Linked DNA regions of Stegostoma tigrinum. The main gene of each other region encodes a partner of the protein of the gene in region 2 in a complex. Links are inferred from orthologs where the notes say so. Each region holds a gene or a part of one and is shown on either strand. Other genes may lie near its edges.

Region 1 (7,790 bases), on a different chromosome or scaffold from region 2:
ACAAATGTGTTGGTGGTAGTCTTTCAATCGAACAGTATTGGACAGTGGATGCACATCTACAGCCTATGGATTAGATTGGCCAAAGGGCTGCCTAGATTTTCTAAGTAATATAGAATGGGACAAAGTTAAGGAATTTGAAACTTCTACCAGTTTCAGATCTGGAGATGACAGCATGTTAAAATCTTTGAAAACAGTGGTCATTCCTTGTGAAAGAGTGGAAGCAATCATTTTCTTAGGACAATGTAGTCTCAGAGTAGACATGCCCCTAGAAAGAGATCACAAACATCTTTAGAGGTATCTTATTAATAGGAGGGGAAACTCAAACAGTAGCAGTATAGAATAAGATAGAAAGCAAACTAGAGGCTTTAGTTTAACAAGGACAAGAATTATAGCTCATACCAGGAATACTCACGTGACCAAACAATTTTAGTGGCTACAACCAAGCTAGAAGACAAGTTAATAAAAGATGCCAAACAACAAGAACTACAAAATGTAGGGAATTCAGATGTACTCAGAAGGAAAGAAACTAAAGGAAAATGCTGCACTTTTTGTTGTTCTTTAAAATAAATGAAATAGTTATTTTTATATCAATAGAGAGAAAAACAGATTTAACATTTTGAGTCTGACTTCTTCAGAGCCTTATCAGACTTGAAATATAAGCCCTGTTTCTCTTTCCACAGATAGTTCCACATCTGCCGAGTCTCTCCAGCATTCTCTGTATTTGTTTCAGATTTTCAGCATCCACAGTATTTTGTGTTTAGACAGTTATTATGCGTTCTATTTCCTCATCGTGATATGTCTTCTCAACAAGGATAGCTTTAGGTTTGGCGCTACCTTGTTGAATTATGAATCAAAGCAGAGTGCTTCTACAATGTATAGGAAGGATGTTGGGCCCACAATGAATGTGTCGGACCACACTCGGAAGGGGAAGGGCCTGTACCTGTGCTTTACTGTTCTTTGTTTTTTTAAATGTGGCAAGAAGATGTATAACCACATCACGTTCAAAAAATATCATTGATCATGAACTAATTTGAATAAGGGGACTTTTTTCAAGAATCAATGAGTTAACTATTTATATTCAGTCTTTAAACATTTGAACAATTTAGTTTTTGAATTGTTAACCCTTACCCAAGTTGGTTGTTCATACAGACATTTTAAGATGAGAGTTTACTGAGTATAGCTGTATGCGCACAAGTATCTCTTCAGTTAGCAGGTGAAGAATTCAAATTGTAATAACTACCCAGTCAAACAAGCCAACCATACACATCTATTTCTTTAAAGAACTTTACGTGTTAGTTAAAATTCAAACTTCTGGCTATGGGTGATAAATATATACTAACGTATTGTAGGCTGTTTCCCACTGCATTAGACCATTGTGATATCTAAGCTTTGATAACAAGAAATTATAATTTGGAGTGCTATGTAAGCAGTTCCTACCATCACAGATCCTTTGGAAAAAAATTCAAGGGTTGATTTAAACAATGCCCATTAGGCAGAAACTCAGTAGCAATAATGGTCCATATGATTCCTTTGCATTGATCCTGGGCTTTTATGCAAGCCATACTTTCTTGACCCCACCATTCTTGGCTATAGAATTAACCATTCAGGCCCTGGCCTTTGGAATTCCCTTCCTAACCCTTATTGTTTTTCTAGATCTTCCTCCTTTTTCTTTGTAAGTCCCTCCTTTTTCTTTGATTAAGCTTTTAGTCACCCCTCCGAATATTTATTTCTCAGCCTCAGCTCCAATTTTTGACAGACTATGTTGCCGTGAAGCAATGTAGGACTTTTATAATCTTATTGATCCATATAAATGCAAGTTGTAACTAAATGAAACATGTCACTAAATTAAATATATGAAAGTGTTGTCATTATTTTGGCCTATGGCCTTTTTAATGATTTTAATATTCTTGATCCATAATGCAGAGGTACATTCATAGTCTGGACTGCAGAATTGTCATAATGTCCTGAAGTTATTTGCACTTCATGACAGTCAAAATATTGTTAACTTCACAAGTAAGTGAAAATTCCTTTTAAATTCAATTTAGTGAGTATTTGCAGGAAATAAAATTCTTAGTCGAAATGCTTCCACAGTGTTGAAAACTGTGAAGAAAGGTAACATTCATGTAGTTGATCTATTCAGATAGTCAACCTCACGGTAGAAGAGAAGCAGAAAGCAGTTGACTTTTGCTCGCTGCATGGTACAACTCATCTGCAAATAATTTCCAGCAGAAAGTCATCAGAATAAAGTCACATTTCTCTATTTGAGAATTTTAATCAAACGTTCCTATTATACCTTTCAAAAGTGCATATCCAATGTATCTAACTAAAAAGAAAGCACTTTAGCTGCTTTTGAAATATTCATTGGCTCAATTATGTCTTTATGTTGATGCATAGAAGTAGAATGTTGCTGATTAAACATTTATCCAATGTTTAGAATTGACCATCTGTTAGAGAAGCTGCTCAATGTCCCTTTCCATTGAAACCCGTGAAAGGGAAAATTAAGCAAATGATTGTGATGGTAATTTCCCACCCGGGCAGAAAGTTGAAAATTCCAGAGATGTTTTCTTGTGAGATCTCAACTTTTTAACTTTAGACGGCTCCAAACCTACATATCTACTGAAATTATCTGATGAATATATCTGTTGCAAGTTGTTTCAAATAAAAACAGTCATCATTTTTCCAGCAAGATTCTATCATTTTAACGCTCTATTCAATCCCCTTTAAACCCTATTTCTAGAACTCACATTAGGACCACATTAGTTGTTCAATATTTGGGGTACAATTAATTTGATGTTTATGTGATGGTCGGTGCTTCATGTAAGGCCCGCATGAGGACATATAATTACTTACTGGTTAATTCCTAACTTTTGATTTCAATTGAAATAACGATGATTTTTGATAGGTAGACATTGTTCTCACATTTTAAGCTCTGTCATTACTTATTCTGTTCACTTTCACTCTTGAAAGTGATTTATTATGGCTGTAGTCTGTTTATTGTCCATCTCACCTCATGTTAAACCCACAGAGAGGGACATATGGCTTATAGTGCAATTACAAATTCTACTAAAAAGAATATAAATAAACAACTGATCTGCAATGGGATTGAACAAATTCTTACCTTTGGTACCCTGGTCAGTTATTCATGCAATGACAATAGGAGACTTGCAGGAAAGTTTCCTTAGCTGAGGACATTCTTATGGAAATATTTTAATAACCTTCTGATAGCTGGAAATATTTCATTAACACAGATGTATGTTCCTGTAATGGTGACCAGCAGTATTGTTTTGCATTTCAGGGAAGTTCAGCTAACAATATTTTCCTTGGGGTTAATTCAATGCAATTTAGTCTTTTGCACATTAATGCAATGCACGCTAAACTCTAAGTAAGGTCAAAACGATATAATCTTGGTTAATGATTGATCTCGATCGTCCTACTGTTAGAGAAGTTGTTGAATCTTGTGTTTCAAAAGAGTGAGGAAATTTCTGACATTGTTTGAAAGCATATTGCATTCAAGAACAGCTCTGCTGCAGTTCAATCATTTCAAGTTGAAAGAAATTTGTTGGGATCTTTTTCAAAACAAAGGAATTTCAAGGTAGTATGCATCTCTTCATTACCATTAACCACTAATTAGCAAGGCTTTTTTTAGATACAAGAATTCCAAACCTGACCAACACATAAAATCAAAGCCCAGCCCTGCAGTCCGGTAGTCAAGCCTCCTTGAGCCATGGTTTTTATATCTCCTACACCAGGCCCAATAGAAAAAGAGTTCCTTCATTTATTTTGGTAGTGATTGTGAATGTAAATCTTCCAGAGACTTGTAAGGAATCATAGATTAAAATTCCTTCAGTGTTCCTGTATTGTATGGCTCTTTCAGTTAAGGCCTACAAATATTAAACTGGCCAAAATGTATGATAATACACAAAGACTTCAAACCATTATTATTTTGTTTCCAGATATAAGAAAAATGTTTTTGTAATAGTAACATCTGTGAAAATAGAATGCATATATTGCAGGAGAATAAATAGTTTTTTTAAGTAAAATCAGGATTCAGATGAAAATGCCTCATTGTTGTCGACTGTCCTCAACTTGAGGATGATTTCTCCTCAGGATAACAATTTTTTTGCCTCATTAACACAGATTCACAAGACAATAAAATGAATTAACATTTGTTTTATTTGTGAGATGTGGACATCACTGGCTGGCCAGTATTTATTGCCTATTCCTAGTTGCCCTTGGGAAGATAGTGGTGAGCTGTCTTCTTGAACAGCTACAGTCCACATGATATCAGTTGACCCACAGTGTCTTCAAGCAGAGATTTTGATCCAGTAACAGTGAAGGAACGGCGATATATTCCCCAGTCAGGACAGTGAGTGACTTGGAAGGGGATTTTCAGGTGGTGGTGTTCCCATGTATCTGCTGCCCTTGTTTAGATGGAAGTGGTCGTGGGTTTGGAAGATGCTGTCTGAGGGTTTTGATGAATTTCTGCAGTGCTTCTTGTAAATGGTACACATTGCTGCTACTGAGCATTGGTGGTGGAGGGAGTGGATGCTTGCGGATGTGGTGCCAATCAACTAGGCTGCTTTGTCCTGGATGGCGTCAAGCTTCTTGACTGTTGTTAGAGCTGCCCTCATCCAGGCAAGTGCGGAGTATTCCATCATATTCCTGACTTGTGCCTTGTAGATGGTGGGCAGGCTTTGGGGAGACAGGAGGTGAGTTACTCCCCGCAGTATTTCTAGCTTCTGACTTGCTCTTATAGCAATTGTATCAAGTTGAGTATCTGGTCAATGATAAGCCCCAGGGTGTTGATAGTGGGGGATTCAGTGTTGGCAACTCCATTGAATGTCAAGGAATGATGGTTAGATTTTCTTTTACTGGTGATTGTCGTAGGCTGATATTTGTGTGGCACAAATGTTACTTGCCACTTGTCAGCCCAAGCCCGGATATTGTCCAGATCTTATTACATTTGAACATGGTCTGCTTCAGTATCTGAGATGTTGTGAATGGTGCTGAACATTTTCAATCATTAGCCAGCATCCCCATTTCCAACCTTATGATAGAGTGAAGGTCATTGATGAAGCTGTTGACAATTGTTGGGTCTAGGACGCTATTCGGAATTAAAGATTCAATTGTGGTTAAAATAATATTCAGAAGTTCACTCTGGCCAGGCCAGGAAATGAAATTCCAAACATGATTATTCAATTGTAAAGATCCTGAAATTAAGCATTTTCACAGAGCTCTTTCCTCAAACTACAGAAAACCCGGGTTGTACAGTATTTTAAGAAAAGAGGATGTCGGTTATGCCATTTGACTTGATTTTTCCTTCTTCAACTGGGTTTAGTCAAACAGTTCCAAAAAGATTTTTTTTAACCAGGCTTCCGAGAAACAAATGTAAATCAACATTTCATAGCACGTCTTTCTTTTACACAACCACTGATAGCTCCTGAGATAACAAAGTGTAGAGCTGGATGAACACAACAGGCCAAGCAGCATCAGAAGAGCAGAAAAGCTGACGTTTTGGGTCAAGGCCCTTCTTCAGAAGAAGGGTCTAGGCCCGAAACGTCAGCTTTCCTGCTCCTCTGATGCTGCTTGGCCTGCTGTGTTCACCCAGCTCTACACCTCATTATCTCAGATTCTCCAGCATCTGCAGTTCCTACTATCTCTGATAGCTCCTTAAAGGTTCCTCATCATAACCATAAATGTTTCAACTGATAAGAACACACACACCACACCTCCACATCATCATACATTCCCAAAATATAAACCAAACTCACAGGATCCCCAGACGTTGAGCTCCAGGGAACGAAAACGCATAAATTCACAAACAACATTTTAATAACTAAAAGATGAAAATGGACACAAACCAGACCACTAAGAGTTGACATTCAGTACGGGGCCATAACACAAAAAGCAGGCTCAGACAGCATTACTTTGGACATCTTATGTTGCTTTCCCCAATGATTCGGGCATTTTATTAATTTTATATGAACTCAAGTGCCAATACCAAGGCCTTGTCTTCTTTGTTTCTTTTTTCTTCTTTTTAACTACCTCCTGTCTAAACAGATGGATTAGTGGGATTCACATTAATTTTAACCATTTAGTCAATTTGTTTCTTATATTCGATTGACTACGTCTTGACTTTGGATCCCTTCAGACCCCATTTGGCATCATCCTTTTTCTTTCCCTATTCAACTATGTGGCTCTTCATTGTCCCCTGGGTGAACTAGGATCTCTCCTCTCACCGTTCAACTGCTGTCATGGGATCTCTTAGCTCTATCACTGCTGCTTATGTTGTTTGGCATGTCAGTGGCCCTATTTGATAGCTTCACTAGGTTGATACCTAATTTTTAGGTAGGCCTGGTGCTGGTCCTGGCATGCCCTCTTGCACTCTCCATCAAAATAGGGTGAACCCTTGTCTTGATGGTAATGATTGAGTGAAGTATGCTGGGCCTTGAGGGTACAGATTGTGCGGGTGTGCAATTCTGCTGCTGTTGATGGATACCTCATGGATGTCCAAAGTCTTGAGTTGCCAGATCTTGTTCTAAATCTGTCCCATTTAGCACAGTGATAGTGCTATACAACATATATTCAATGTGAAGGGAGGATTTTGTCTCCACAAAGGACTGTGCGGTGGTCACTCTTACTGTTACTGTCATTGACAGGTGCATCTGTGGCTGGCAAGTTGATAAGGATGAAGTCAAGTATGATTTTCCCTCTGGTTGGTTCCCTTGCCATCTGCTGCAGACCCAGTATAGCAGCTGTGTCCTTTAGGACTGGGCCAGCTCCATCAGTGGCACTGAAATTTACATCCCCCACTCAGAATATATTTTGTACCCTTGCCACCCTCAGTGCTTCCTCCAAGTGTTGTTCAATAAGGAGGAGTGCTGATTCATCAGCTGAGGGAGGGCAGTACATGGTAACCAGCAGGAGGTATCCTTGCCCATTTTTAAAATGAAGCCATGAGACTTCAGGGAAACCAGAGTCAATGTTGAGGACTCCCGGACAGTACAACGTTATGTTGCTAGCTCTGCTGGGTTTTTCCAAGACATATTCAGGGATGGTGATAGTGTTGTCTGTGATATTGTAAGATATGATTCACGAGTATGACTATGTCAGGTTGTTGCTTAACTAGTCTGTGAGGCAACTGTCCCAATTTGGGACTAGATGTTAGTAAGGAAGACTTTTCAGGGTTGACAGGTTTGTTTTTTTCTGTTGTTTCTTCTGGTGCCTAGTTAATACCGGGTGGCCCATCCAGTTTCATTTTTTTGTTGAGACTTTGTCACAATTAATACAACTGAGTAGTTTGGCAGGCCATTTCAGAGGGCAGCTGAGAGTCAGCTACTTCCGTGTTGCTCTCGAGTCATATATAGGTCAAACTAGGTGAAGATGGCAGATTTCCTTCCCTGGAGAGAATTTGTGTTCTGACGCTTGCCAATAGTTTCACGGTCATCAGTAGATTCTTAATACCACATTTTTTAATTGAATTCAAATTCCACTATTTACCAAGGTGGGATTTGAACCCAGGATCTGCAGAACATTAACTAGGTTTCTGGATTAATAGTCTAACAATAATACCACTAGGGTGTCACCTTCCCATATGTCAAACCAAATGCTTTGGTATATTTTGTACATAAAGAATATATTCAGGAGAAAAGTCTACCAATTGTGCATGATTATTTAGTGCTCAATGCACTACATCCTCATTACCCTCTTATCAACAATTTCTATCAATTAGTAGTTGAATCTCATATATTTAACATCACAGAAATCTATTACAGATACTCATTGACACA
Region 2 (7,571 bases):
AACTAAGACATTGAAAGGCATGAAGGATAATTCATTTGCTAAGTTTATGCTTCATTTTAAGAAAGCTTTTTTAAAATTGTGATTGACCTCTTGATGGAGGAATTTTGAAAGTTGAGTGCTCGAGACGTAGAATGCATAGAAAATGTGAAAACGTTCAGAAAGAAATTTAAAAGGATTATTGGAAAGCAGCAGTAGGATGTCACCATCAGAGTGATAGAGTACATATGCACTTCCCATGATAAATGAATACTTTAAAGTTTAGAATGGAAACTGTTGACACATGATATGATAAGAAGTCACATGATGCAGACAAAATGTGCACATTGTACTTACGTTTCATTTTACACATTATTTAGATATTGCGTTACGAAAATGAGTAAATTGCATTTCATTTTAATTGCTACAGCTCAGCAATTGCTGGCCAACTCTTGATTGGTGAAGAAATTGATTGTTGTGTTTCTGGCATTACTACAGTGACAACACTTCAAATGAACTTAAATGGCAATAAAGCTTTTTAAGACATCCTGGTTACGTGAAAGATATTACATAAGTACAAACATTTCATTTTTATGATGTTTTATATATTCAAGTTGTCATCTATGTAAATAAATGTAATGGTAACATTATGATCTGTGGTGTTCTGGGTTTCGAAAGTGCCTTTTTCCAACTTCCTAAAATAATGTTGAAGTGTAACTAAAAAGGAGCTTGGAGAAGTGAGCTAAAATATATACTTTTTGTTGGTTTTCATTTGTTGACCAATTTGGAAATAAATATTAAAACCAGAAAGTTTCCTAAATTCAATTCCTGGCCAGTGCTGTGTTTGCAGTTCCTAGTATTTTTTGCCTTTACTGGTAGAGGGGTCAAAACGATTCACCATGGTACTTCAGAATATTGCAAGAAGAAAAACCATCACTTTCCGGTTGTGCAGTGGTAATGTCACTGGATGAGTAACGCAGAGAGCCAGGCTATTACTCTGAGATTCATGGGTTCAAATCTCGCCATGCCAGCTAATGGAATATAAATGCAATTAATGATTTTGGAATTGAAAGCTAATTAGTATCATGAATTATCATAAAATCCCATCAGGTTCACTAATGTCCTCTACAGGATAAAATCTGCTATTGAGTTTTGAGAAGATTTGTAGCTCAGGTTGAGGTTCTGGATGTAAGTTTGCTCACCGAGCTGGAAGGTTTGTTTTCAGACGTTTCGTCACCATTCCAGGTAACATCTCACTGATGATGTTACCTAGAATGGTGACGAAACATCTGAAAACGAACCTTCCAGCTCAGCGAGCAAACTTACATCCAGATCTGCTATCTTTGCAAGTGACTCCAAACTCACCAGTAATATGGTTGACTCTGAACTGACCTAGAAAGCAACACAATTCAAGGGCTATTATGGATGGGCAACAATTGCTGGCCTTGTCAGTGACACCCAGGTCACATGAAAGATTGAATGAAGGAAATTAAACTTCACCCATGCTGGAAATTGTTTATGATTTGATATTGCCTCAGGTTAGGGTTGAATTTTAGTTGCGACTTTCTCAACGGTTACCACTCAAGTTTTAAGTTTATACCTGTTGGACGCTCTTTCATGAAGCACCTTTAAAAATGAGTCCCAATTACTTTTTGATGCCTTGTAAAAATTAAGTCAGATACACAATGAACAACTGTTATGAAAAAACTTCATAACAGTATGTTAACGGATGTATTAAACTACATCCACCATAAAGCAATATTAGAACAGGTTTTTCAAAACCACCTGATCCAGGGAAATGAGCAGCAAATTGCCTTGTTCCTGGCCTTCACATCCCAGGAATGAACGTTGGTGAATGCCAAACTTTCCACTTTGCATCAGAACAAAAGCGGAAATGCCGAATGCACGCTCTAAACTGTTGTGTTTGTTTGAAATTTGGTTTTCTTACAATAGTCCCACTAAGACCAAGATGCAACACTTTTTCTGAAGAAGGGTCTAGGCCTGAAATGTCAGCCTTCCTGCTCCTATGATGCTGCTTAACCTGCTGTGTTCATCCAGCTCTACACCTAGTTATCTCACCGCGTCAATGTGTCTCTCTTTTGAGCAAATTCAAACAAATATAGAAGGAGGGAATATGTCAATATATAAAGAGATAAGTGTAAAATCTTTGCCCTCAGATGACTTTTTGTGTTGGGTGGCAGAACTTTAAATTCTCTCAACTTGCTGTTGGCAATCAGTCACTATTGAGTATGGTTGTCCACCGAGGAAATTCCATGTCACTAGTCATAGTCAACATGTAACTGATGAGCCTAATCCTAGAGCATCATCTCCAATCATACATTTGGAACGTAGGTGGAAGTAGTCCTTACATGTTAGTATTCCTTTCTCCCATTCCTTTCCCGCACTTCCTCTTGGCAACGGGTGTTCTCAAAAATTGTATCCCCTCACACAAGAGATTATTTCACGTCTGTTTCTTCTTAAATCTCTGTTGCATTTCTTCAGAAAGCCTTTGCAATGCTCCCTTTGGCCTCCGCTCATTCAAGCAGTGAGGAGAAGAACAGGAATGCAATAAAGGCACTCTCCTACCTACATGAGAGATAGTAAGAACTGCAGATGCTGGAGTCATAGATAATAGAGTGGAGCTGGAGGAACATAGCAGGCCAGACAGCGTCAGAGGAGCAGAAAAATTGATGTTTCGGGCCAAGATCCTCCTTCAGAGTTGTTGCTGTAGTACTACTGACCACATCTCTGCCCTCCCACTGCTTATGTCTTGGTGTGTCAGGTCTGAAATCACACGACACCAGGTTATAGTCCAACAGGTTTATTTAAAAACATGAGCTTTCGGAGCTTCAGTCCTTCTTCAGGTGTTAGTGAGAGAGGTAATATCAGACGCAGAATGTATAAGTAAGAGATCAAAGGTTCACACCATTCATGAGGATGTACTAAACAAACTTTTGTTAAATGTTTTAAATCTATTAAATTTTAATCAGTTAGAAGGTTTTAACTGATTAAAATGTATATGTAAATTCCCAAATTTCTTTCAAGTCATGGACCTGGAAGAACTGAAGATTTTATCAGTGTGAAGCAGAGGTGACATTTCGAACAGACAATGCATGTTAGGTGTCTGACCTTGATTAAAACTTGATTGTGTTTTTGTTCGGTGTCAGACTGGTTTTATTTCTAAAGTATTAATTTATAAAACGCCATATTGACTGACTGTCCCTAAATGGTGTGTTTTTTGAACAAAATGAAATGTATCTGCAAGTACAAATTCATCCCATTGATTCATGTGTGCGCGGGCACTAAATGGGGAGGGCAAGGGAGAGGGAGGGTGCGCGCGCGTGCGCGTGTACGGTGTGGTGGTAATAAAATGTGAGGCTGGATGAACACAGCAGGCCAAGCAGCATCTCAGGAGCACAAAAGCTGACGTTTCGGGCCTAGACCCTTCATCAGAGAGGGGGATGGGGGGAGGGAACTGGAATAAATAGGGAGAGAGGGGGAGGCGGACCGAAGATGGAGAGTAAAGAAGATAGGTGGAGAGGGTGTAGGTGGGGAGGTAGGGAGGGGATAGGTCAGTCCAGGGAAGACGGACAGGTCAAGGAGGTGGGATGAGGTTAGTAGGTAGCTGGGGGTGCGGCTTGGGGTGGGAGGAAGGGATGGGTGAGAGGAAGAACCGGTTAGGGAGGCAGAGACAGGTTGGACTGGTTTTGGGATGCAGTGGGTGGGGGGGAAGAGCTGGGCTGGTTGTGTGGTGCAGTGGGGGGAGGGGATGAACTGGGCTGGTTGAGGGATGCAGTGGGGGAAGGGGAGATTTTGAAACTGGTGAAGTCCACATTGATACCATATGGCTGCAGGGTTCCCAGGCGGAATATGAGTTGCTGTTCCTGCAACCACACAACCAGCCCAGCTCTTCCCCCCCACCCACTGCATCCCAAAACCAGTCCAACCTGTCTCTGCCTCCCTAACCTGTTCTTCCTCTCACCCATCCCTTCCTCCCACCCCAAGCCGCACCCCCAGCTACCTACTAACCTCATCCCACCTCCTTGACCTGTCTGTCTTCCCTGGACTGACCTATCCCCTCCCTACCTCCCCACCTACACTCTCTCCACCTATCTTCTTTTCTCTCCATCTTCGGTCCGCCTCCCCCTCTCTCCCTATTTATTCCAGTTCCCTCCCCCCATCCCCCTCTCTGATGAAGGGTCTAGGCCCGAAACGTCAGCTTTTGTGCTCCTGAGATGCTGCTTGGCCTGCTGTGTTCATCCAGCCTCACATTTTATTATCTTGGAATCTCCAGCATCTGCAGTTCCCATTATCTCTGATACGGTGTGGTGGGCTCGCCTGAAGTGCGTCGGCAGCTGAACTACAGCTCCCACAGTACCTCGCGCGTCGTGTCGGGGGAAGGGTGTCATTCGCAGTTGTGCTCAGGTGCATCGACGGCCGAACTACACCTCCCGTCGGGCCTTGCGCGTCGACGATTTCCGGTTGGGCGGGTTTCCGTTTTCTCAGTCTAACCGTCGCGGCTCGCTCTGGCCGCCCTCGAGCGATCGCGGGTTTTGAATTGTTAACGGTCCCTGCGGTTAAAACTTTACTTCTTTTAAGTGATCTTCTCCTCTCTCGAAGCGTTTGTACGCGTATTTTTTTTTCGATTGTGCGAACGAATTACCGATGTAAAAGAAGAAAAGAAATACATAAATTCCTTCTGTTTCGTTGCACCGCCTGAGAAGGGAGTTCGTGTTTTTTTTTCTTTTCGCGGCCCCCAACCCTTCCCCCACCCCCCAATCTCTTTTCCCCGGTGTGAGGGGATTTTCCTAAGGCCCCCTTCCTTATTCACCCTTGCTTTCGGCCCCGGAGTCCGGGTCCCCTGTCCGGCTGCCGGGATGGGCTGCACCATGAGCGCAGAGGACAAGGCGGCGATGGCCAGGAGCAAAATGATCGACCGCAACCTGAAGGAAGACGGCGAGAAGTCGTCCAGGGAGGTCAAACTTCTGCTGCTGGGTAATCAGTCGTTATCAAAGAACAATAGTAGCGGCGACAACAGAGCGCTTTGTAACTGCACTCGAGGCCGGAGTTGTAGGTTTCTCTGGGGTCTCCAGGGTCTGACTTTGACTCTTTAAAACCTCAGGCTAACACCCAACCCTGCGTCCTACCCCGGTGTTAGAAAAGATTCGAGTTTCAGATCAAAGGCAGGGTTCGTATGATTTCTCTTTGGGGTTTGAATTGGGTGTGAACCCACTGAGGTGGGAGTTTATTTTTTTGCGGGGCTGAAGATCGGAGAGTTTGCCCGTCTGCCGGAGGTGAAGGTTTGGGGTTGGGGGATTATTTAGCCAACACCCGCCGGAGCTGAGGGTTTTGAGTGGATTTTGCCCACCCGCCGGAGGTGGGGGTTTTGTGGGGGGTGGGGCATTTTGCCCACCCGCTGGAGGTGGAGGTTTTAGGGGGTGGGGGTTCTTGACCACCCGCCGGGGTGGGGGAGGGGGAGTTTGCCCACCCGCCGGAGGTGAGGGTTTTGGTGGGGGGGGCGGGCGATTTTGCCCACCTGCCGGAGGTGAGGGTGTTGGGGCGGGTGGGGGATTTTGCCCACCTGCCGAACGTGGGGGTTTTGGGCGGCATGGTGGTGGGGGATTTTGCCCACCTGCCGGAGGTGAGGGTTTTGGGGGGGAGGTGGGGGAGTTTGCCCACCCGCCGGAGGTGAGGGTTTGGGGGGGGTGGGTGGGGGTTTTGCCCACCTACCGGAGGTGAGGTTGTTGGGGCGGGTGGGGGATTTTGCCCACCTGCCGAAGTTGGGGGGGGAGGGGGTGGGGCATTTTGCCCACCCACTGGATGTGAGGGTTTTGTCGGGGTGGAGGATTTTGCCCACCTGCCAGGGGTTAGGGTTTTGTGGGGGTAGGATTATTTAACCCACACCTACCAGAAGTGCATTTGAGATAATCCCTCCATCCAAATGTACAGTTGAGGATGCGAGATTTTACCCATTTGCTGTGTTTGCAGTTAAGATCATTTATTTACCCATTCTGTGAGGGTGCTGTTTTTGCCCTGGTGTGGGAGATTGACTGGTGAGAAATTTGGATGATTGGGGAAGTGCTGATATGTTGCAGATTTCTGATTTCAAGGATGTGAGTTGGCAAAGACCATAAAGTGAGGTGAGGCAATGCTGTGGCTGCAGTATGTTTCAAGGGCATTTGGGTGGATGTTAGTGTATTTGCTTGGGTATTATAAACGGAATTCTAATACATAATTCATTCCTCATTAGCCCACAAAATACATTGCTTCCATCCCACTGAACTGAGACATAGAATATTGTCATTCATTGCCCTAGGGATGGAGTTTAAAAATATGGAGATAACGCTTCAGCTGGAATACTCTGCACAGTTTTGTTCCCCTTAGTTGAGAGAGGATATACTGACACCGGAGGGGGTGCAGTGGACTTTCACCAGGTTGATTCTTGAATTAGGAGTGTTGGTTTATGTCAGAGTTTGACTAGTCTGGGACTATACTCATTGGAGTTTAGAAAAATGCGTGGGGATCTTATAGAAATGTAATGTTATGAAGGGAATTGATAAGATAGAAGCAAAGAGGTTGTTTCCACTGGCAGTTGAAACTGGAGCTAAGGGCATACTCTCACTATAAGGAAGAGCAGAATCAGGCTGAGTTGAGAAAGAACTTCTTCACCCAAAGGGTTGTGAATCTGTGGAATTCCATGCCCAGTGAAACAGCTGAGGCTATCTTATCTGTTTTTATGATAAAGATTTTTGAACAGTCAAGGAATTAAGGGTTATGGTAGATGGGTAAATGGAGATGAATCCACAAAATGGTCAGCCATGATCTTGCTGAAATGTGGAGCAGGCTCGATGGGCCAGTTGTCCGACTCCTACTCCTATTTATGTTCTAATGAGACAAGGTCCAGCTGCAAATTGTAGCTGTGACTGTGGCCTACCCCAACATGGCAGTCTTTGCCAGCTTACATTAGAAGTTTAGTAATAAGATTACTGGATAAAATTAGTAAGTTTCAGGAACAGGGAAATTCATGAGTCAGGGTATAATAAAGATTGGGTCCCTCTTGTCCACACTTCCCTCCCCTCCAGCTTCCACATCCAACAGATCATCCTCAAATACTTCCAACTCCATGAGACTCCACCACCTGGAACATCTTCCACTCCCCATCCCTTCTGCCTTCTGCAAGGACCATTCCCATCACTATTCCTGAGTTCTTACCACACTCCCCACCAACCACTTCTACCCATTTGGTACCTTCCCCTGTAACTGTAAAATTGCAGCACCTGCCCACACACCACCTTGCTCACCTCCATCCAGGGCCCTAAACAGTCTTTCAAGTTGAGACAGAGCTTCACTGACATCCTCCAACCTCCTTTATTCATTAATGGGATGTGGACACTGCTGGCTGGGCAGCATTCATTGTCCATCCCTAATTGCCCAAAAGGTAGTTGAGTCAACTACGTTGCTGTGGGTCTGGAGTCTCTCGCAGGCCGGGCCACATAAGGATGGCACTTGCCTTCCCTAAGGCATATTAGTGAACCAGATGGGCATTTCCACCAGTCAATGCATGGTCATCATTAGATTCTTAATTCCAGATATGT
Region 3 (7,935 bases), about 17 Mb from region 2:
GCTGCTTCATGTTAAGTTAGAATTTGGTTAGTGTAAATTAGTTGAGTGGAAACTCAAGAGAAGAGTGTTTCTCAAAACTGGCACAATTTTGGATGACATTTGAGATTGGTTGTCCATGGAACCCACAATGAAAACTCTACCGTACTATAGTCACCTTTCTTAGTGCATGCCATTTCTGGAACTAAAAGTATGGTCAAACATTGGCCTCAGGGTTTGAATGAAAACAGACTCCAAAGCCTGTCTTTCTTTCAGGACGACAGTGTTAAGAGCCTAATAGTCCTATTCAGTCACAACACAGAACCCCTGCCAGTACTATAACTTGTTTTGTTGGTGGCACACAAAAGCTAACTGGACTTGAAATAGAATCATTGTTTTTAAACTGTGCTACTTGTCTACAAAGTAAAAAGAATAAAACTGCCCATTACTGTCAACCACCATTTTGCTTTTAAGTAAATGTCTGCTATAATGCACATCATTATTGCAACAAAGGTGTCTTAGGCTTTGTAATGCCAACTATACAAGCAAATAACTACTGTGCTGATGTTTCCAAGGACGAACTTCGATTGCTATTTAAGCTATCCAAATAATATGATATAGGAATAGCTCATTATTAACTATAAATCATGCATCATTTGCTTCCCCTTTAAGTACGAAGCATGTTCTATGTATGGGCAGAAATCTGAAAGGGTTAAACTTCTCTTAGCTGAGGTAATATCGGCATGCACAATAAATCTATCTGAAGGAACGTTCTTAAGTATATTATCCTGACCCAGACAGGCGAATTGCTGTTCGCTGTACCCAATAAATTTACACAACTATTAAATCAAACCCAATAAAACCCATCTATGTTAAAATACTGCTGCTACTATGACCGTGGGCCGTCGAAAAGAGCAATCAGATGTCCCTGTCTTAAGTATTTAGTCTAACCACTATTATATTCGTCATTCTCTGGCTCTGAGGCGCTTTGAGTGTGGGACTGTGGGCAATGGGAACGCTGGCGGAGAGGGCGGAACAGAATGAACCTTGGCGGTCTGACATTCCCGTGCATAGATAGTACTAGTCACTCTACCCTTCCGATGAAAAATGATCAATTCATTCCATCCTATCTGGGAAGGTCTGTAAGTCGACTTATTGAGACGTGTTCAATGTTTATGTGAAATATACAAGGTTTCACCCAGCTCTTTAACATTTAACCACTCTGCAGAAATAGCTAGTAACTACCTTCTTGCAACTAGCAAAGTACTGTCAGCAGTTGAAAATAAGATTCAAACTGCAATTATTCTAACAAAGGGGAAAGGTCGTGCAGTCTGTTTTTCACATTAATACCGATTAGAATCGATGCGTGCCTCTTTTCAAATCCCAAAGCAAAGCTAATTTCATCCCCCTTTATCCGAACGAATCGCTTAACAGCTTGAAGCAGCTGCATCTCATTACACACTATATTGTAAAGCGGAACGTGACCCATTGAAACCGGGAGATACTTATGGAACACTAGAACACCGATTTCCATCAACTGACTTAAGTATGTTTTTTTTAATTTCTAATCGTGCACCATTTCAGTCCATTGAGAACTGTGGGATGACCTCGTTAAAATCCTCTCATACCTGTGTTTCGTTGAAAGCTGAAGCAGATTTTAATTCGGAAGAATCAAAACAGTTCTTAAAATAGTCTTCTTGCATGTCCTACTAGCCCTGCAGTGATGAAGGAGACATACTACCTCACTTCAGAGCAGATGGATATATCCGCAAGCGATGCAAAGTTCTCCCCCTATTTCTAGTGCACAGGATAACAAGAGGCTTTAACCCTGTCGTCAGTCAGTTCAGCACCATGGACAGATCAGCGCTGCCCATATCCAGCAAACTCGCTACCCGCACACCGCCCGTCAATTTGAATAACAGTACAGCCCAGCTTAATCCCGAGAGCTCTTTTCTTTCCCAGATCCTATGTTGACTGTTATTGATGCAATAGATGTGTCATTAATAAAGAGATTAACAGCCAGCATCAACCTTGCTCGAAAGGTAATCCCACTGGGGGTTCCGTATGCTGCACATCTCTCAACTAATTATGTAAATAGCTTTTTAAATCAACCCGGCCTCAATTTCCCCACATCGGTTCCGGCCAAGCTACCAGACCAAGGAATCTCTTTCCCCAGGTGCTTTTCATTAAAAGGTGAGCTACCGAGAATGGTGCCCATTGCTAGAGGGCAACTTCTGCAGTATTTGCAACTTTTGTTTTATTGTGTTAAACAGGATGCCCGGAGCCTCCGCTATGTGTAACCGCCCTGCTTTAAACAGTCCGTGCGCAATGTTGAATAGTCGGAGCCCAACCACCGTTTGGGAAACTGCAGCCCGCTTCACACGGACAGCTAACGGCGGCTGAGGTTTGCGGGCTTGATTTGGTAGAGTGGGGTGGGAAAGAGGAGTTCACCATACCTTGAGACGGGGTTTGTAGTTGGAGATTGCGATGCTCAGTCATTGTAAATAGAGAGGTTCCAGCTCGCTGGTCCTGTGCAGTCTTCACGTTCAGCTTTGCCTCTGAAATTCTACAAGCTTGTGGTAGCTTGCTTTTGAGCAAGCGCCAGTGGGATCGCCCACGAATTGTTGGAACGACCCACGGTCTAAGTCGGCTGGAAAGTATCCATTGATGACAAGGAGTCGCTCCGAGGACCCGTCTTATGCCTTTGCAATTCCTCGCCACCAGTGAGCCAGGAGGCGAAACCGAACCGAACTGTATAAATACCCTACGCAACACGACACGTCTTGTAATGAATGTCTTCAGTTCCCATCCGGCTCTCCGAGTGACTGTTTTTTTAAAAAAAGCCAGGGATTCCGCTAGCTCTGTGCCGCTGATTTCACATCTCAGCAACTCCCTCCTGCCGCCTCCCTACGCTCACAGGTACCTATTCCGTCAATTTAACATAGCGAAGAGCTCCTCTTTTTGCCAGACGAATTGGATTTCGCACGAACAGAACGATCATAATTCCAGAAATCGATCTGGGTTCTTGGCGGCGGAGACGGCGGGGGGTGGGTGGAAACGACTGTATTCCGATATTTGGCTTTGGGCATTCATTTACAATTCTTTCCGTCCAGCACTCAATTCCCAAATGATTAAAATCAGAAGGTCCTCGCCTGCTGAGGCAAAAAAAAACACATTTGCGATGCTACAAAAAGCGGCGCCCAGCCACTGCTTCAAATCGCATATTTCACTATTTTACTGAACCTTGGGGCCAGCTCACTTAAACCAATGCACTCTCTTCAGTGAAGGCACCATTAAACACGAGGCGTTTCAGTTTGTACCAGAGGTGTACTGAACGTTTTCCAAATGTCCGTCTGTCAGTATCATTTTGAAGTACCTTTTTGAAGACGACCTGGAATTTCAGTACATTTCATCTGGTTTGGAAAAGAAGTCAGTAAATTTATGTAACTATGGTGATCAAAAGGAAAATGTTGCTTTTAGAAAAAGTTGTTTCGAACAAAGTACACACGTAAAACAAGAAATAAGATTAACTATAACACAAAATGGAGACCGGATTTTAATTGACCTTAAATTAATAATCACTGTTCCGGAGTTGAATTGATTTATGTATAGAGCTTTCCTAATAAATTTGATGGGTGCAAATCAAAAAATGTCCCTTGAAGTTTAGGGGGTTTTTCTTTTGAACTCGAACTAGTCTCAATCTCAAATTCAAGTCATTGAAATGGGTAATAACTGGATGGAGGTGGCGCATGAAAGTAAGTGCATCGCGCAAATGGCAGTGGGCAGGTGAAACGTCCAGCAACACAGATGTGGCTCTCCCAGCAGGGGCGAAAGTAGGCCATTCGGCCCCTGGATCCTGCTCCGCCAGTCGATGAGACCATGGTTTGTCTGACTCCCAAAAACTATACGCAGAGTCGAAGACCGAGATGTCAGCAAAATTAGTTTAAGGATCCCTGTCCTCCTTTTCGAATCTGAAAACTTGAGCTTCGTAGCATGCACCTTGCACATGGCCGATATTTGTTTGGAACAGCTCTCAGCTGGCAACAATCTTAGCTTGATTCGCAAAAGTAATGAAACGCTCACAGCCTGAGTTCTGGCGAAGTGTGGGTTTCCCCATATGCAATATTGACCAACGGATAATATCCAGCAAACAGCCCAGGCAATTTGAGGAGATATATAATGTATACCAAAAACAAACAACAGCGCACGTATTGAAGGCACATTCTCCCTAGAAGAGGGAGGACTAGTGTGTGAGGATCTCAACGCACACAAACTCCGAAATCGCTTGGTTATTTAAAAAAATATACAGTTTGGTAGTTTGAGCCTTGCTTTCATGTTTCAGGGTAAAGCACGTGCAACCATCCTTCAGGTGAAAGTGACGTACAACGCGGTTAGGGAGGATGGGAAACTGTTAGAATCACTGACGGAGCGTACACTGAGCAGTGTATTTTCTACAGAAGTGGGAATTGCGGAGTTGAATTGATTGATGGTAAAAATCACTGGAACACCTCGAGCTGAAGAATAAGCGGCTGGTGATTGCAATAACGGTTCACAAGTACCTACATGTGGAATTAATGTGTAATTAGTGCAACTCCCTTAGTTAACCTCCAAGTGACACCAAGTCCAATTAATCCTCTTGTAAGTAATTTAATATCGACTTGATCTTTAAAGGGCATTCTGTTTGTCAAAACAGAATGCTAAAAGATAAGCAAATTGGGAGCTTCTATTTAAACTGAGGTGTAGCAGGATAATTAAGCCTGCCGTTACAATACGACATCCTATTGCTCCTACTACCCAAAAAGTTTGCCGCATTTCTAATCTTCTGAAACCGAACAGAGAGCTTGGCGCTCTGTTTGACGGTTTAAGGCGCCGTCTAGTGCTCAGATCTGCTTCAACTATCGATTGTTGGGTTTGAACCAACAAAATATCCGGATGTCTGAGCAGCACCAGCCCGCTGGCTCCCTTTGAAAGTCTAAATTTTCCTGTTTAGTGAGTGAGAGAAAGTATTCTGTGAATAATACCTGAATAATCAGATTTTTCATTTAAGATTTATTCACAGCCATTCCTAGTTATACCAATATTTGGAATTTTATAAACTAACGTCGCATTTCTTTTTGCTTTCAACATCGTCGGAGGGTTGACGCGAGATAAAATGTTTTAACATTCGTTTGATGCAAAAGGAGGGTACTTAAAGACATTATATGCCTATAATATTCTGATTAAATCCTATTTTCAATTAGCGGGATTGGTTTGTGTTAAAGTACCCCTTTTCAAAACGTTCCGTGAAAAACATGCGCAAGATAGTTACTTATTATAGAGGATAACCATGTACACTGACTATTATAGTATGATGAGCTGCAATAATTACTAGGTCGATTTCAATTGGCGATTTCATAATGTTGGCAGAATGAGATGGAACGTAAAAACTATGTCGGATCTCAAATACACTCGCTTCGCCCCTATCTCAAAGTCAATCAACGCTCACTTACCTGAGTGCAGACCTGACCTTACTATATTATTTAAAGCAAACACGTAACAGAAGGCCTCACCACGTTTTCCATATTATAGTGGGGCCCCTTCCTGCGTAACGTGTTCATGAATTGTCACTTAGTTTTACCTCCAAAGCCTCAATTGCCTAATTTCATAACACAATTGACCCGAATTGGGTAAAGTCTTGTGTGTATTGCATTGAAGAACACCCATCACTGCAGCCACGCTAGTAGCAAAACATTCGATCTTGGAAGCTAAGCACCCTGGATCAAGAAGCCCGTGTTCAAGTCTCACATGCTCCAGAGGTATGGAATGATGTCTCTGAACAGGTTGACTAGAAAAAGATGGTTTGAAGAACGCTCATAAAGTGCACTCATTGTAACTAAGCATCAATTGGTAACCAACAGAGATGGCAGCGGAGGTGACAATATTACAAATGTTCAAATCTGGAAATATATCACATTCCTTTCGCCTCTTTCAAAAACTTCAAGATTAAAATGTAAATGGTACCTGCTGAAATTTCCAGTATGCAGTACGACCAAAAAAAATGGATAATTGTTTGGATTGCGTACCTGTTTCTTATAGTGATCACAACTAAAACATATTTGATCAATGCCACCTGTGTAACTTACATGGAATAAAAATGTTTTTCTTAATACCAATATGTATTAAACAAAAGTACTGTCAGCTTACAAGAAATAATGAAATGAACAATTACCTCTATCTTCCTTCCCTCTCATTTTCAATTGAGTTATTTGATTCTTTCTCTTTCAGGATATTGTTTTCCTTAGCTAATGGTTTGACTGCTGTCTCAAGGTCTGTGTGAAACCTGAACTTAATTGGAGCTGTGACAGTGACTGATTAACTTTAAGCCAATACCCTGACTGATATTGTCCTTCCAGGAGATTTGGAATAGCAAACATGCAGTTTCTTTTTGGCTTTTTTTTTTAAAAAACCGTTTTCCACTTTGAACTGTGGGTGGAATTTGGAGTACAGGAGGTGCCTGATGTTTTTCCTTTTATCAGATTTTCACTTTTAAATAAATGATTTACGTGACACTGATGAAGTCCCTCACCAATTTCAAAAAATGTTACAAAAGAAGTTCTAAAGGCAGTCAAATATGAGGAGAATGCTCCCTAATCATCAGGATCCAATCAGGGAGCCCTGGTTGACCAATTTATAGAGCAGAATGTCAGACACCCTGTTCACACTGAGCTGGATCTAAAGGAGCCATAAGGGGGGACTTGGTGATAGGATACCAGCTTCCATCGAGTTACTTCAATGATGGTGAAACAAATGCACACCCCTGAAGAAACTTACTTGCAACAGTTGTCTTTGAGTTGGGTTAAGAATTTCTGGCATTATTGGGAAGCTTGACTCATTCAATCCTGTCATCAAAGACTGGGCCCAGTATGTGGAAAGATGTGCTTTTTGTTGGGCAAATGATTTTGGGGCAGATGAAAAGCAATAAGTATTTCTCTGGGTAGCTTGACAACTTGCAGCTGCTTTTTCCTTGACTCCTTCACAGAATGAGGGTATTGCTGGCTAGGCCAGCATTTATTGCCCATCCCTAAATGCCCGGAGGGCAGTTTAAGAGTCACCACATTGCTATGGGTCTGGAGTTACATGTAGGCTAGACCAAGTAAGGATGGCAGTTTCCTTCCTTAAGGGCATTAGTGAATCAGTTCTTTTTTGGATAATCAACAATGACTTCATGATCATCAATAGACTTTTAAATCCAGAGTTTTTTTTTTGGTTACTAAATTCCATTATCTGCTGTGGTAGGATTTGAACCCAAGCTTGCAGAACATTATCTAGGTCCCTGGATTACCAGTCCAGCAATAATACCATGAGGCTACCACCTCTAGTAGTTATTCTGAGCCTAACTTTCTCTGAGGCACCAGATACTACAACCTTCCAAGAATTGAGAGTTAGCTAAGGAATATTATGACTCCAAGCCATATCTAATTCTAAGAGGCTGTCAGTTTTATTCAACAATTACAAAATCAGGGGAGTCAGTATTGGGATTTTTGAGGTTATTACAACTGGCAGAGGCATATAATTTTGGTTTACCGCTTAATAAGATGCTGAAGACCATTTGGTATGTGAGGTTAATGATGTAACAATGCAGAAACCCCTTCTAGGTGAAACCCAACTGGGTTTCAAACAGGCAATACAACTGGCCTTGTCATTGGAAAATGTGGCAAGTGGAGCATGAGAGTTGTGGGGTATTCTGATGGAAATGGACACCCTCACAGTCCAACTGAGCTTGGGGAATACCATTTGAATAAAGGCAGTTGCATAGCCTCACGTAGGGCATATCCTCAACAGGTGGACTTGAAGTCACACACAGCAAAACTCCAAAACAAAGCCAAGCCTTCGCCAAACAGTTAGAATTTTATTCACTATCCGAGCTGGCAAGGCATTGTAGTTGCACAGACCTGAGACAGCAAAAGAGTTCCACTGGAC
Region 4 (8,295 bases), on a different chromosome or scaffold from region 2:
TGATGCATGTTTCTGTCACTAAGTTTTGCTGGAATAGATGCCAGAAACTGTAATTCTGCAGGACCTAAGGCTGGTCTCCCACGGCCTATAGGAAGTTGTTACTATTGCGAATTGCAAGCTGTCATGTTATGAAGTGACTGTTAACGTACCTGCCGTGGTCTTCAAGGAAGCAATGGGACTCCAACTCAGTTTTCTTTGTCTCACAGAGAGTGACGCTGCAAATGGCACCGCAGTCCTGAGCTATTCTCTATTCCCTTACTCCCTTTGGGTGGATTGGTGCCACGAAACTCTGCTTACCTGCTGTGTTCAGCTAAGAGCAATTTCTTCTGCATTATGTCATCTAGTCGTTTTTTTGTAAGTCTAGGCGCATGGGTTCAATTCTCGCATTGGCTGAGGCTACCATGAGTGATTCTGTTTCTCCACCTCTGCCCTCACCTGAGGAGTGGTGACCCTCAGGTTAAACCACCAGCAGCTCCCTCTATCTCTCTCTCTAAAGACGGAGCAGCCCTACGGTCTGTGCAGACTATGGGGACCTTACCTTTACTTTATGGGGTGAATCTCCGCGCGAGTTCCCCGACGTGATTTGGATGGAAACGCTCTGAAACCGCTTAGGCAAGGTATTTTTCTCTCTCTCCATCTCTCTCTGGGGATTTCCACAGCTCTTCCGCCAAAGTTACGAGCCGTGACCGCTAATAAAATTTACCCCTTCACTCGATCCGTTCCGTTCGTTTCTTTTGGAGATGGCGCAGTTGAGGTGAATCCCTAGAATTTATCTTCTAAAGGCTTGCGCGCACAGACTTTCCCCAGTTTGTGGTCGATTTGTGAAATTGCCTGTGAGCCCTGGGGTTAACGGACGTGTTCCTGGGAAGGGTGATTCGGTCGGAAATTGGAATCATATCTATCAGAATGAACCTCCCTAGCGTACGTCAATGCGCTTACAGATAACAGTGAAAAGCTTCATAAATCTCCTCAATTTTTTGGGGGGAGAACAACGTAACCAAACGGGGTTAACTACTTGCTTTCAGCCTCACGGTCACTGTTTCGTCAATGCCAGTTGTCAAGATTGGTGTTTGCTAACCCTGGTTAAATATTCAATGTTAAACACTTCAACAAATAGTTCATAATTAATTCTTTCGCAAGACCGCTCCCCGAGCTTTCATGTTCCCTACTATTTACTGCAGCAACAGAGATCCCGGCATTAATCAGACTAGACCCCCAACCCTTCTGCCCCGGTAGCAGCTGTGAATGTTTACATTTGTGCAATTGTCTAAGGGGCAATTTAAAAATTGCTGGAATGAGATTGTAAAGATAGTGAGTACCGACAACGCTATGTAAATGTTATAGGCTGTTTCCCTCCGCTGGCTGCTAAAAAGCAGCCTTTGATAGTAATTGCACTGTTTGTGATATTGTGATGTTCAACAGGACACCTTAGTAATGGGGTGTTGGGGATGGGTGGGTTGGCGGGGGAAGATATTGCCACAGTCCGAGAAATGGCTTTAGCTGTTCGGCAAGATGAGACCCCATTAAGAAAGACTCGCACACAGTTCATAGATGACTAGTATCTTCGATGCTGAAATTGTCATCGAATTGCCTCACTGGGGCAGGCAGGGTCGTTATATTATAAACTACTGTGCAGTAGAACCAAAGATGAAGATTCAAAAATAAAGAACTACGAGCAATTTGTACAAGACCCACCCGTTAAGACCGAGAGACGCTAAACCCCAGCCTACTTCCCCCCAAATAAACAAGTCAGAAATGGATGGTAGTTTCACGCGCTTGTGGTTCTGTCGATTTATTGGACCCATCGTCTGAAGGCGAGATCTGTCCACTGTCAGCAAATTTTGCAAAGTGCATTTTCTTTTTTCCAGACGGATTTAATGAAAACTTACTGAGCTGTTTATTGCGCCTGACAGATTCGGTTGACTTGTTAAAATAAGAAGCTGTGTAATGGTGGGGGAGAACATGGGTGTGAAAGAGTTCAGAGTAACTGTAAATGTACACCTTCCCAGCGCCAGCCTTTGCCCGTAGGTCCATCTGAGCAGATCTTACAGCTCCCCAGTGAAACACCGCCTGCTATTGGATGGACCGGTTCAGATCCCTGTCTACTGGGTCCATTTTGGTGTTTGTTTTTAAACATGATTATTTCTTAAAATCTATCCTATTCATTACGTGGTTTATACAAGAGTATAGAAAATACCCTACATTTGCCTCGCGCAGTGGCATCATTCCAAATCCTAAACGTTGTCATTCTTAATGAATAAACAAAGGTTTTATTCTTTGATTTAAAGGTAGTCAAGTAGGTGCAGTAGAACAGGAAAAAAAGACATTTATATTTACCTGTACGCTAGTTTCCCCCCATAAATCGGTGCAGTGTAGTTTTCGCTGAATTTATAACGCAGCAATTGTACAAACGTTGTCATCCTGAAGACTTCGCGGCACGATACAATGTAAATCGCTGAAGATCGTTAAGATCCCAAACGTTTTTAAAATTCCCCTCTGCACACGACGGTTGTGCAAATGAACTTTTCCGCCATAAGACACTTCGCTTTTAATTTAACGTGTCGGAGACATTATTATATCCTACAGGTTCGGGGGCCTGGGGGGCGCGGTGGTGGGGGCTTGCTGGTAAAAGTGCAGGAGACAAGCGTGTGTTGTCAGTCTCTCTCGGCTTCCCCAGATCCTCCTTTAGGAACTGGTCGCGCAGCTCTCCATCGAGATAGCGAAGCCAGGAGAGGCTGGGGTGTACATTCCGAACCTCTAACAATAGCCGGCACACTTCAGCCCTCTCGCTGGAGCCACGGCAGGAGGTTATTTTCCCTTCTCTCTCTCTCTCTGTTGGATGACAGGATTTTCGATAGGTCAGTAATGTAGGTACAGCTCTGCATTGATGTGACAGAGGCGCCAGTCAATCAGCCTTTGGTATGATCGCGACTGGGGCTGACACATGCTCCCAAGAGCGGGGGCTGCCTCTCACACAAACACTGCAACCGAGACAGGTAAGTTATGAGGCTCTTTCCTTCGCGTTCTCCTTCGTTTCTTTCGTTTTCATCCTCTCATTCCTTCTTCTCTCCTTTGTTTATCCATCCTGCCCTTTCAGAGATCGCCGGTGTTTGGGGAGCTGAAGAAAACACTGCTGTTTCCAATGCTTCATGTTGTTGTCATCTCGTTAGCAAAGCATTTGGCCCCTTGCTGCTCAGGATGGAATCTGTTTGATATTTCCCCATGCGCTCTCACTGCCCAGAATAGACAAGAACCAGGGGATCTTTTTTAAACAATGTAGCACTGGACAATCAAAAACTGGGGTGATTTGGCTTGACCCTGCAATCTCCAAAGGAAGGAAAGAACTTGGATTTAAGTAGCACCTTTCTCCCCTTTAGGATATTCAAATACATGATGTAGCCAATGAGGTTCCTGTAAAGTCTAGTCACTGTTTCAGTCTCGGAAATGTAACAGCTGAGGTGTGCACAAGTTCTGACAAACTGCATCAAGCCAAAAAGCCAAAATATCTATTATTAGTTGTTGGGTGTTTGACTATTATTACACAAATCTGGGAGCATGCTTTTGTTCTTCTTCAAATAGTACCATGGAATTTTCCACATTCATTGGAGCTTGGTGTCTCGTTTTATCCCTAAAATAACATGCCAGCAGCATTGCATTGAAGTACCTGCCTGCATTAAGTACTGGTGTCTCATGATTGAGGCTTGAACTCATGATCCCCTGAATAAAGGTGCAAGAAAGTTTAATGGAGCCAAAGGTGGCACTGATACAGCAGAGTGGGCAGCCTTTTATTGCTAAAACAACTGCTAATCTGTCAATCCCCTTCACAATCTCAACGTCATTATTCAGATACACTGGTGTGGAGGATAAAACAATGTGGGTTGGGTTAAAAGTGGAGTGAAAAAAGAATGTGTTATTAATGGTATGTAAACAAATTAGGCATTTGTCACAAATGGCTTATTTTCATTTTTAGAATATATCCCTTGAGCTTCCATGTATGTGCAATTTAACCTCTTCAGCTAATGTGTGTAAGTGGGAGAACAAATCAGAATAGCAATCAGAGGTGAATAGTGCAGATACATGAGTAGTCTGGAATTGTTTTTAATGTTAGCCAATGGGGGCAAGAGAAACTTTATGCAAAACATTTCTTTAGCAAATTAAGTAAATTAGGAAGAGTTTACAACAGGTCAGATTACACCCAGTTAAATCACAGTCACAAGCCATCTTTTGGTTCAAATTTGTGATGAACACAGACACTGGTGGTGACAGAATTGGGATCTTTTGGTCATTGGTGAATTAAGAATACATTGCTCTGGAAATGCTTGAACTTATTCAGCAATCTATCACAGCCTCTGACGTATTTCATCAGCTTTTGAGCATAATAATTGTGTATTAAGAGCAGACAGCAAAGATTCAGGGGAGCGCTCAACTACTAATCAAGATTAACTATAAAAACAATATTTCAAATTGAACTTGTTTTCCAAATCACGCCTGAATGCTGTGTGCAGTTTTTGTCTCCTCAGCTAAAAACAGACATAGTTGCTTAGGTAGTCTGCAACCATTGTTAAAAAGGAGTCACAGAACTGAAACAAAACAAAGAACTGTGAATGCTGGAAATCTGAAGCAAAACAGAAGTTGCTGGTGAAATTTGATAGGTCTGGAAGCATCTGTCAGGACAACTGATGAAGGTCAACGGACTCAAAATAATAGCTCTTCCCTTTTTCCTCAGATGCTGCCAGACCTGCTGAGTTTCTCCAGTTATTTTTATTTTTGTTTATAATGCGATTCTCCTTTTAGTGATGAGGTAAAGAAAAACATTCTATCAAAGGACTATGCAACTTTGGAACTGTATGACTTAGAAGGCCATGGTGGTGACGCCACTAACATCAGCTTTCCTGCTCTCAGATGCTGCTTGACCTGCTGTGTTCATCCAGCTCCACACCTTGTTATCTTGGATTCTGCACCATCTGCAGTTCCTATTATCTCTGCTACAATTTTAACCTCTCTGCGAAGCCTCACAATCAAAACAAGGAGTCATTTAGAACTGAGATGAGAAGAAATTTCTTCATTCACCAAGGCATGAATCTGTGAATCTTTGGATTTTCTGTTCTAGAGGGCTGTGTTTGCTCATTATTTGAGTATTTCAAGACAGGGATTGATTGTTGGGCACTTCAGATATATCGCAATTAAGGGGAGCATACCGTTTACTCCTGTCACTGCTGTTTGTCATGGTTTTCTGTTTCTGTGTAAACAAAAAAGGAAATCAATTTAAAGTTAAAGGGGAGGTGATGGCCTAGTGGTGTTATCACTGCACTGTTACTCCAGAGACCCAGAGAGCATTCTGGGGGCACTGGTTTGAATCCTGCCATGGCAAATGGTGGAATTTGAATTCAATAAAAAATATCTGGAATTAAGAATCTAATGATGACTGTGAATCTGTTGCCAATTGTTGGGGAAACCCATCTGGTTCTCTAATATCCTTTAGGGAAGGAAACTGCTGTCTTTACTGGTCTGGCCTACGTGTGACCCCAGACCCACAGCAATGTGGTTGACTTGAAACTATCCTCGGGCTATTAGGGATGGGTATTAAATGCTGCCTGGCCAGCAACACCCTCATCCTGTTAATGAATAAAGGGAAAAAAAATGTTGTATAGTAAATACTTTATTTTACTAGATGAAAAAATGCATACTTTCTATTTTAAGCTTTACTTCTGGTTTATTTTTCTTATAGTCATATTGTAAGTCTTATTTCCTGAACCCAAAGAAAATAATGACAGTCTCTTGGATATTTTTATTGAGTGGCAGCAATTTCCATTATGAGTTTCCTGTGTAGTAAAATTGCAAATAATTGCTTTAAACTTTCTGTATGTGTGATTTGATTTTAATACCTCAGTGCCAATACTGGGGCACATTATTGCATGCAATGTTTGAAACTCAATCTAAGATTTAGAATTTAGAGTCCCTACAGTGTGGAAACAGGCCCTCCAGCCCAACAAATCCACACCGAACCTCAGTGCATCCTATCCAGACCCAATCCTCTATAACCCACCTCGGCTGCACAACCCTGAACACTATGGGCAATTTAGCATGGCCAATCCACCTAGCCTGCACATCTTTAGACTGTGGGAGGAAACCAGAGCACCCAGAGGAAACGCATGCAGACACGGGGAGAATGTGCAAACTCCACACAGGCAGACACCCGAGGCTAGAATCGAACCTGGGTCTCTGGTGCTGTGAGGCAGCAGTGCTAACCACTGAGCCACCGTGCTGCCCAAAAATCTGTGCATTCATAATAGATTCTTGCCAGCATTGCATTTGGAGTGTAACATTTGGCTTCACCGATTTGACTAGTAAAGGTGGATGTCATGGCTCCCATACCCATATTCAATGCATTTGTACAAACACCAGCGCTAATCTCTTCCCCATCCTCCACTGGAAGATTGCAATAGACTTCCAAATGCACTGTCAATACTAATACATGAAGAACAGACTCTTATTCAAAGGGTAAGCCAGCTCCCATGAACTGTATCTCAATGCAATGTTTGCGCATTTAGGCAAAAGGAATAAAGTTGAGAGAAGACACAGATGGGGCTTCTGGTTGCAGGGTGTGTGTGGGTCCAGCATTGGACCCTGTATTGGCAGCGATATTGGCAAGGTGGGCCCAGTGGTGAAGAGATGGTGCCTGAAGAATGCTGGTTCTGACATTGGTGGGTCTGATGTCTGGCTGGTGAGATGGTGGAGGAGGGCTGGTGACTCAGGTGTTGTTGGTGAGCCAGCTCAGGGCTCAGGACTCATGAAGGATGTGGCAGAACGAAGAAAGACTTTCTTTCAGCTAAATCTTTTTATTCTTTATATTCTTAAGCTACTCAAAATGGGGCTGAATTATGGAAACAGTTGAAGCTGGTCACTCTATTTTACTTTATTATTCGCTATAACACACAATTGACGATAAATCATTCAGATCAAATACTTTGCACGTGAAAGGCAGAATAATTCAATGCCATTTGTACACCTCAGTACGTGGATTTCAATGACTGAAGAACAGATGTGATTTCTCTACTCTGGATAACTATCTCAAAGTGGTTTATACAATCAAAACTTTGTTATCAACATGCAGACCAAAGATGAAACAAATTACCACAATTAGAAAAGTAATCAGTGAACATCCATGCACCTCCATAGGCATTCTAAATACAGTCACATCTCCTAAATTACATCCTCTCTGATGTCTCTCACATCTCCCAACATTGGATGATTTTAGTGGCAATGGAAATGACATGACACTGAATTAAGTGTAACAGATTATTGATACATGAACATGCACAGGTCAGAGGCATAATATTTAATGATCATTGTGTTTCACCAACAGATCTTCAGTCTTCAAATAGTGCCTTAAACTGTGAAATTTTGATTTTTCACATCAGCAATCCTTATATGCTGTCCAAGTGAGATAATCAATTACAGCACAATTGATGCTGGGGATGAATGTGTGCTTGAAAGACAATTGACATTACCTGAGCTGAATTCATTTGCAGTTTTGGTTAGGGAAGAGAAAGGGAGAGTGCAACAGAGAAAAATAAGTCTCCAGGACCCCTCAGGATTGTACATTTCGATCCAACTGTGCATTCAAATATAACTTGAAAGTCAGATCTGTACCAGACAAGATATCAATAGATTTTTAAAAAATTTTTGAACTTGCGTATATGTGGGGCTAGTTTGAATATTTAGGAAATATCTTATATATTGAAATGCTTAGTCACCATAACCTAGATGGCTGTAAAATAGTAGGAAAGGAAAGATCTAAATATTTAAATAATCAACCCAATGGTTTGACCAGCTCTAAAGCTGAAATCTCTCATCAAACAAGTTAATTATCTAGTCATTATCTAGGCAATTATCTAGGACCGCAACTTTCCCCCCGCAGTGGTCGAGAACACCCTTGACCGCGTCTCCCGCATTTCCCGCAACACATCCCTCACACCCTACCCCGCCACAACCGCCCCAAGAGGATCCCCCTCATTCTCACACACCACCCCACCAACCTCCAGATACAACGCATCATCCTCCGACACTTCCGCCATCTACAATCCGACCCCACCACCCAAGATATTTTTCCATCCCCACCCTTGTCTGCCTTCCGGAGAGACCACTCTTTCCATGACACCCTTGTTCGCTCCACACTCCCCTCCAACCCCACCACACCCGGCACCTTCCCCTGCAACCGCAGGAAGTGCTACACTTGCCCCCACACCTCCTCCCTCATCCCCATCCCAGGCCCCAAGATGACTTTCCACATTA

Evidence for each region.
Region 1: the proteins of guanine nucleotide-binding protein G(i) subunit alpha-3 (region 2) and casr are in contact, whole or in part, in a cryo-EM structure (PDB 8SZH), measured with the Homo sapiens proteins. The link is inferred for Stegostoma tigrinum from reciprocal best matches to the Homo sapiens genes GNAI3 and CASR. Residues at the interface, in NP_006487.1 of Homo sapiens: Ala31, Lys32, Gln304, Glu308, Lys314, Asp315, Thr316, Lys317, Glu318, Ile319, Tyr320, Thr321, Phe334, Asp337, Ala338, Thr340, Asp341, Ile343, Ile344, Lys345, Asn347, Leu348, Glu350, Cys351, Gly352, Leu353, Tyr354; in NP_000379.3 of Homo sapiens: Lys644, Ala645, Asn647, Arg701, Val702, Val705, Phe706, Ala708, Lys709, Pro711, Thr712, Arg716, Trp719, Phe801, Ile869, Val872, Arg873, Thr876, Ala877, Ala880, Phe881, Lys882, Val883, Ala884, Ala885, Arg886.
Region 3: the proteins of guanine nucleotide-binding protein G(i) subunit alpha-3 (region 2) and metabotropic glutamate receptor 4-like are in contact, whole or in part, in a cryo-EM structure (PDB 8JD6), measured with the Homo sapiens proteins. The link is inferred for Stegostoma tigrinum from reciprocal best matches to the Homo sapiens genes GNAI3 and GRM4. Residues at the interface, in NP_006487.1 of Homo sapiens: Ala31, Lys32, Val34, Lys192, Asp193, Leu194, Thr219, Phe336, Thr340, Ile343, Ile344, Asn347, Leu348, Cys351, Gly352, Leu353, Tyr354; in NP_000832.1 of Homo sapiens: Pro616, Lys619, Ala620, Gly622, Arg623, Glu624, Arg676, Ile677, Ile680, Phe681, Gln683, Gly684, Lys685, Arg686, Ser687, Val688, Ser689, Ala690, Ile694, Ser695, Pro696, Phe781.
Region 4: the proteins of guanine nucleotide-binding protein G(i) subunit alpha-3 (region 2) and short transient receptor potential channel 5-like are in contact, whole or in part, in a cryo-EM structure (PDB 8GVX), measured with the Homo sapiens proteins. The link is inferred for Stegostoma tigrinum from reciprocal best matches to the Homo sapiens genes GNAI3 and TRPC5. Residues at the interface, in NP_006487.1 of Homo sapiens: Arg205, Arg208, Lys209, Trp211, Ile212, His213, Phe215, Glu216, Glu245, Leu249, Ser252, Asn256, Lys257, Trp258, Arg312; in NP_036603.1 of Homo sapiens: Thr27, Glu32, Glu33, Glu56, Ile57, Tyr58, Tyr59, Asn60, Lys125, Pro128, Thr129, Leu130, Met131.

Annotation. Positions count from the first base shown.
Region 1 is NC_081365.1:36,572,310-36,580,099, forward strand, and holds the start of casr (extracellular calcium-sensing receptor), read right to left. Parts: upstream 3,234-7,790; 5' UTR 3,119-3,233; intron 1-3,118. UniProt on the Homo sapiens protein: G-protein-coupled receptor that senses changes in the extracellular concentration of calcium ions and plays a key role in maintaining calcium homeostasis.
Region 2 is NC_081374.1:11,653,818-11,661,388, reverse strand, and holds the start of guanine nucleotide-binding protein G(i) subunit alpha-3, read left to right. Parts: upstream 1-4,465; 5' UTR 4,466-4,853; coding exon 4,854-4,971; intron 4,972-5,058; exon of another isoform or gene 5,059-5,164; intron 5,165-7,571. UniProt on the Homo sapiens protein: Heterotrimeric guanine nucleotide-binding proteins (G proteins) function as transducers downstream of G protein-coupled receptors (GPCRs) in numerous signaling cascades.
Region 3 is NC_081374.1:28,927,876-28,935,810, reverse strand, and holds the start of metabotropic glutamate receptor 4-like, read right to left. Parts: upstream 3,167-7,935; 5' UTR 2,433-3,166; intron 1,665-2,432; exon of another isoform or gene 1,605-1,664; intron 1-1,604.
Region 4 is NC_081368.1:25,286,488-25,294,782, forward strand, and holds the start of short transient receptor potential channel 5-like, read right to left. Parts: upstream 3,300-8,295; 5' UTR 2,338-3,299; intron 849-2,337; exon of another isoform or gene 539-848; intron 234-538; exon of another isoform or gene 150-233; intron 1-149. UniProt on the Homo sapiens protein: Forms a receptor-activated non-selective calcium permeant cation channel. Mediates calcium-dependent phosphatidylserine externalization and apoptosis in neurons via its association with PLSCR1.